2 linked regions of the Kluyveromyces lactis genome follow. The protein of the gene in region 1 purifies or fractionates together with the protein of each later gene. This does not show direct contact. Links are inferred from orthologs where the notes say so. Each region holds a gene or a part of one and is shown on either strand. Other genes may lie near its edges.

Region 1 (3,935 bases):
CCCAACAGCAGTTGAAAACGACGATGAGCCAATCTGGGTTTCTCCAAGCAAATTGGATATGTTTGACATCAGTAATAAATCAGACACATTTTTCAAGAGTTTACAACCACCAGCTTCAAAAAAAGCTGCTCCTAAGGCTGCTGCTTTCGGTGCTTTGACCGACGAAAACAACGGCAAACATGATGAACCCTCTTTCCTAAGAGATTCTTCCTATGACTACTTAGGTGGCGTTTTAGCAGAAGATGATGAAACAAAACCAACGCGATTGCAGTTCAGCGCTTAGTCCCTATGGAGAAAACGTAGAAGTTTGAATAGGTTATTAATTAGTGATATTACCTCAAGTAATGCCCGCTAGATATCAAAATATAAAACATGATTATTTAGAAGTTAGAATTAGAATCTGGCATAAGTCACCTTTAACTCATGATCTCCATAGGAGTATTTGTCCAATTTGCTGATACATATATCTGCGTCCTCTGGTGTTTCAAATTGACAATATGAGTTCCTTGTGAAATGACCTTCAGGATTCAACAGTAATTTCGTTATTATAACCGGTGCAACACTGCCAAATAGGTCATATAAATCAGATTCAGTGGTAGAAGATGGCATATTTTCGCAGAAGATTACAGAGTTTCTATCACCACCCGTAGTTATAGCCAGAGGATCGATATCTAGTGGTTTTGGTTTAAGAGTTGCTGGTGGTTCATTACGTGGTTGACGAGGGATGTAAGTATCGGCACCAGTGGCTGCAGTACGTGTAGAAGTTCCTTTACCTTCTTTAACATCTAATACACGGCCCTTATACTCTGTACCAGTCCAATGACGAATAGCATCATTTTGTTGTTCTTTGGTAGCCATATAGACCGTACCAAAACCTCTTGACTTACCGTCACGATCAGTGACAACATCAGCATGCAAAACATCACCGCACGGTTTGAACATATCTTTTAATTCTTGCCAATTAACAGAGAATGGTAGCTGTGCCACGAAAACTTCGAAACCTTCATCGTGAGCACGTTTTGGAGGAGGCGGTGGGCCGTTATTATTTCCAGTTCTCGAGATTTCAGCAGGAGGTGGATTATCTTGCCTGACAAAAATGGCACGTCCGTTCAAAAAGGCACCATCACAATCTCTAATGGCCGTATCGACGTCAGTACTGTTATTGAATTCCACAGTACCCATGCCCCTGTGATGACCTCTAGAAGTAATAATATCTGCTCTGCGAACTTCACCGATCTTACCAAAATATTCCTTCAAATCCTCTGGTGTAGTATTATATGTAAGGTTACCGATGAAGATACTGTTGGCATAGTTTCTGTTTACTTTTTCATCATATGGAGAATCGAGCTCTCTCGCTAATTTCGGTCCATAGTCTCCTTTAGCGGCGGCAGCAGCAGCAGTAGCAGCTCCTCCTCGATCATATCTCGAGGATCTACCACGGCCATATCTACCACTGTTATAACCTTGATTCTCGTACCCATTGTCCCTTCCAACAGAACGGTATCCACGATTTACAGATCTTCCACCCGAATATCTGTCTCCGTCCCTATCTCTTGAATAAGTGTCCCTGTTATATCCTTCAGATCTTCTGTTATCTCCGCTGTAGTTTCCTCTTCTATCATCCCTATAGCTACGATCAGGATAACCGCCTCTGCGTGGATCTTCGTTTCCTGATCTTGCTACAGGTGATCTAGATCTCGATCTCTCTCTTGACTATATTAATAAAGGCCAGAAAAAAGTAATTAATGGCAACTCATATAGTAACCAGTTAGTATCACATGTTAACGCTTGAAGCAGAAGCCTAGAAATGAACTAATCTTTAGATTTGCAGCAAAGATGTATTACAGCCAATGACTAGTATGTTTCCTGCGCAGTAGTTTTCCTTAGGTATACTGGAAACTAAAAGCACTTATAATAGCGACACCTGCCACAATCTTAGCCAAAAAACAAGCAGAATTAAACCATCGCATACCCAGTGTCAATAGATGCATAATATCAATAAACCTTACCAGCTTGGATATCTGTTCTTTGATAATTCATTGAGCAACAACTGTCGGTGATAATACTATAGATATGGTATGATCATTGTGTAGCAGTCTAAACAGCCATTTCACACCAATTCCTTTTCAAAAATACAACATACGTATGAACTCATATTTAACTACCAGCCACAACCGTCTAGCAGCAGTCTTGAAATTATTTCACGACGTTTAGCAATGTCATAACGAAGTTCTTTTCAGTGCTGAATGTTTTCACAGATTTAATTCCTTCTGAATTTTTTTCGAGGTTTAGATGTGTTAATGAATAAAAAGAGACGTGCATGATATAAAGAATGCCGCATGTCATGTGACTCAATGCAAGTTAAAGCGTGGCAAGAAGGGAGAGTATAAGACCTGTAAAAGGGCATATTACGTCCAGGTGGTTGGTGTTGGTATAATATAATATATTATTGAGATGGCAGACACTACTCCGGACACTGCAGTCTCTAATGTGACCGAACCTGCCAAGAAGAAGAGGAAGTATTCCAAAAATGGATGCCTTGAATGTAAGAGAAAGAAGGTTAAATGTGATGAGACGAAGCCTATGTGTTGGCAGTGCACGCATTTGTCTCTTGAATGTGTTTATAAGACCAAAGAGTTTCAATTTGTTGTTTCTGGGGGACCCAATAAATCTCGAGTAAACTCTAAAGTGACCTCAGTCTCGGATAAAAAGAGAAAGAATAAGGAAGATGGCGATCTGCATAGGAAAAACATGGAACATCATTCATCATCTGATACTAGAAAACTCTCGAACAATGAACGTGACGTGGATTTTGAGCATGCTGCAACCAATGCGATTGGTAATGACGAAGATGATTTGAATGCGCTATTGAACGATGCGCTTCTCTTTGCTAATGATTTATTCTCCAAGCTGCCCGAAACAGACGCCGTGACCGCAAACCAAGGCCAACAGAAAAGTATCAGTTCTATCAATGATGACATAGGCGGGCCCGTGTTCAACAGATGGGAAGAGATCGAAGGAATGTTAGGAGAGGTATCAAAATCGGAATTATCATATTTGAAGATATTTTATGACAATGTATCATACTGGTTGATGCCGCTAGCACAATCACCGGATTCTAACATTTGTAACCATATCTTATTCCAGCACGTAATAAGAGCAAATAAAAAACACGCCCGAGAAAAGTCTTACTTACAGAGTTCGATGGTGTCAATCAGTGCTAAATATGTCTACAATGTTTACGGGAAAGAGCATGATAATATAATTAGGAAACATTTCTTGAGAAAAGCACTACAGCAATTGTACCAAGAATTCGAATCTCTATCCCAAGAATCATTGGGGTTTTCACAGATAGACTCTTTGAATTTATGTGTGCTATTGTTGACATTGGATAGTTCAACGTTTGGAACTCAAGAATGGAAATTCCATCTACGAGGAGCTAAGGATCTACTTATGAAATACAACGACAACAGAGAAATGGTGACTGGAAGCACTGGGAGCACACTTTTGCATAGGAGGACTGTAACACTAGCACGTAACTGGTTTTGTGCCATTGCTATAGTTGCTTGTGTAGCGAAAGGTAACCATTTTTTCAATGAAGCAGAAATGGAGGAGATGTTAGATATTGGATCCAGTGATTCATCCATGAGCGACAATCTCATGAAGCAGATGGGATTCATATCAGGGAATAATTATAACACATTTCTTGGGTATTCGAAAGAGGGAATATTGCTTATCAAGGAAGTGATGAAATGTCTTAATGCAGATACTGGCCAAGACGATAACAACGATAGTTTCCTTAACGTCTGCTCATTGTTACAAGCATCTCGAGAATACCAATTCTATCCAAACACGTACGGGAAAGTTGATACCGACAATTACTCCCTGATACCGTCATTCACCTCAGATGTGGCATCCGTTGTGTTCCACAAGCT
Region 2 (2,978 bases), on another chromosome or scaffold:
CTGTTGCTCAGTACTGTGCAGTACTGTTTCATATATCACATCTATTTATGATTCAATTCGATGAGATTGTCAATTGTGTTCACTTAAATCAAAACATTGAATCTTTAAAATTGCATCCACTAATAGCAGAGAACCTTTAAAACAGAAGTACCAAAGGATATTGCTCAAGATCTTTACTCGGAAGGTCATCCACGTTACTGATATTTACCATGGACAACAAACAGCGCCAATATGCGAGACTAGCAGCACATTTGAAACAACTTCGTGAGAATCTCGATGAGACAACGGCTCAAGTGGAAATCATGGCAAACCAAAGCAATATGATAACGAAACTGGGAGCCGTCCAAGCCAGCACTTTCATCGGCAGTAACCGTGTATTCGAAGATGAAATGTTAAAGAAATGAGGTATGAGATACATGCCTACGATAAATATCGGTTTGTAACACTATATGTATATATGAACGTATACCTAATATCTATGGATCATGAGAAAATGAGAAAATGAGATCAAAGGAAAACCCCCGCTTCTTCTCTAAACGGTGGTCTCCTTCTGGCGTTCGCGCTCCTTCCTTCTGATCTTTTTCACTTCGTACTCGTGCGAACCTTTGAACTCGGGTCCCAAGAGTAGAGGTTGTGGTTTGGGTTCATTTGTGAAGTAATGATGCTGTAATGCTTCAGTTGTCGTGAATCTTGTATCCTGATCGTATCGTAACAATTTGGATGCCAAATCTAGGGCATCCTGCGGTACTTTGCTGAACTCATCGAAGAATACGTTCTTGTAAGTCTTAGATATTTGTGGTACAAGCATGAACCACCACGGCATATCTAACATCTTGGGCCATTGTTCCAAAGTCGGACTTCCCATGATGCTCAATATTCGCTGGAATTGATCTACTTCGTTAGAACCTGGGAATATGGCAGCCCCTGCAAACAATTCCACTAAGAGACACCCACATCCCCAACAATCCACCTCGTATTTATAGTCTGTTGCCCCTAGAAGTAGTTCGGGAGGCCTGTACCAAAGCGTAATGACTCTGTTGGTATTGGAGGCTGGAGAAGAAACGTCCGTTAGTTTCTTGGCAAGACCGAAATCTGTTATCTTCAAGTTACCTCTGTTATCTATCAATAAATTCGATCCCTTGATGTCTCTGTGTACTATTTGCTGTTGGTGCAAATACTGTAACCCAACGAACAATTGCTTCATCAAGTGCTTAATGTTGGAATCGGAAAACTGGATCGATTTATCCATTAACATCCCTGACAAATCGTTCTCCATGTACTGGAATCCCATAGAAATTGTATTTTTATCCGATACGATAATCTCATGGATCAAACTAATGTTTGGATGGTTCAACTGTTGTAATAGTTTAATTTCACGAATAGAAGTTATTGGAAACCCATCACGCTCTTGCTCCAACCTAAGCCTCTTCAAAGCGATAAGTTTCCCAGTATGTACGTTCTCCGCCTTATAAACTTTCCCATAGGTACCTTCTCCGACTTGTGCCAACGGTTGGAAGCTGGATTTCACATCTTGAAACGATATCAATGCCAAAGGTTTCTTGCCAAAAATATTTCTTGAATGAGAATCTCCAGCGCTTTCTGCACTTGACCCCATAGCCCTGGGGCCCCTAGGTATACTGCCATGACCTTCGAACCTCGATCCACTCGTTTCAGGTCCATTACTGGGCCTGTTGAACTTACCTCTTGGATTTCTTTTCCCCAAAGAACGATTGACGTTAACATTTCCAGCTGTATTATGATGATTATTAGGCCTATTTGGCTGGTACCGCGACTGCGACCCACCGTGGTAACGAGACTCCTGTCTCTTCTTCCTGAAAATCTTGGGCTGACTCATGGATACCCCTGTGTTTGGCCTGTGGTGTGTCCATTTCATCATCATTCCAAACTATAACTGATAAGTTTTCAATGTATTTAAGTATAAAGAGTTTTTAATGTTGAAAAGATGGAATACCTAGTATATTGAGAAGAGAAGAAGAAGAAAGGGAAGTAAGAATATGAAACTACAGCCGCTTGAAGCGGTTCAAAGTTTAGAATAAATAAATAACTGGATCATTGATATAGAGAAGTGTACATACTGAGAAAGGAATGTGTGAGTAAAGCGTCTGTGAGGGAACAGAGAAAATTTTCTTACCATGTTAATAGGTAAGAACCCATGATAGCAGTCAATCCTAGCACAGCGTAACCTGTTCTGTAGACACCTTTCAAGGTCAACTCTTTACCGGTATCCCAGATCAGATGTCTGATACCGTTACCGAAATGGAATGCAAACAAGTATGCGAACCCAGCCTTTGCGGTCAAATCAATCCAGGATGGGATCTTTTCGTTATAAAATTGAACCAAATTCTCTGTGGACATTCCTAGACCGAACACAGTGGAAACACCGAACGCAATAGTTACTGCATAGAACGCTAGACCCAAGAAAACACCGGAAACACGATGCACGGACGATAAATACCATGTCAATTGTGGTTGATAAATGGTCAAATGAGGAGACACTGGTCTAACTTTTCTCTGAGAAACTAGCAACTCGTACTCTTCTTGAGCCGTAGTCTTCTTGGTGACGACATTAGACTGACGACGAATAAAAGAAGCCATCAAACCTCTTGTGTTTGAGGTCATAACTTGGGGTCTTAGACCACTAACAATTCCTGGTTTCAAAACGTTTTTGAACATGGTTTGATAATAACAACTGTATGTATGCCTTTTAACTCCTGCTTTCCTAACAAAATACCAGAAATATTTGCCAGTCGGACTTTTAAGACCTGTCTATGAAGCAGGCAAGAAAGTAAACAGACTTTATTGTCTTGATGAGTATATTCTTTAACTAATTCCCTTATATACTTTTCTAATGGTTGAAACTAAAGTTTCCGGTTTCCCAGTTTCGGTCATTCGGTCCTTTCGGATGATTTCGGAACGAGTCGGGAACCGCTAGTCACGTGCCTTTAATTTGAGAAATA

What was found.
Region 2: the proteins of KLLA0_D05016g (region 1) and CTK1 purify together in Saccharomyces cerevisiae (affinity purification with mass spectrometry; 3 studies listed by BioGRID, with this or other methods). This does not show direct contact. The link is inferred for Kluyveromyces lactis from reciprocal best matches to the Saccharomyces cerevisiae genes HRB1 and CTK1.

The regions. Positions count from the first base shown.
Region 1 is NC_006040.1:431,199-435,133, forward strand, and holds KLLA0_D05016g (uncharacterized protein), read right to left. Parts: upstream 2,156-3,935; coding exon 2,144-2,155; intron 1,714-2,143; coding exon 394-1,713; downstream 1-393. Other genes in the region: BUD3 (Bud3p), read left to right, coding at 1-283; KLLA0_D05038g (Zn(II)2Cys6 transcription factor), read left to right, coding at 2,455-3,935. UniProt on the Saccharomyces cerevisiae protein: Binds to intron-containing transcripts and is involved in quality control for the export of spliced mRNAs from the nucleus. Binds to pre-mRNAs until splicing is completed or until faulty mRNAs are degraded.
Region 2 is NC_006041.1:1,079,167-1,082,144, reverse strand, and holds CTK1 (cyclin-dependent serine/threonine protein kinase CTK1), read right to left. Parts: upstream 1,901-2,978; coding exon 533-1,900; downstream 1-532. Other genes in the region: HSK3 (Hsk3p), read left to right, coding at 210-404; succinate dehydrogenase cytochrome b subunit SDH3, read right to left, coding at 2,149-2,694. UniProt on the Saccharomyces cerevisiae protein: Catalytic subunit of the CTDK-I complex, which hyperphosphorylates the C-terminal heptapeptide repeat domain (CTD) of the largest RNA polymerase II subunit.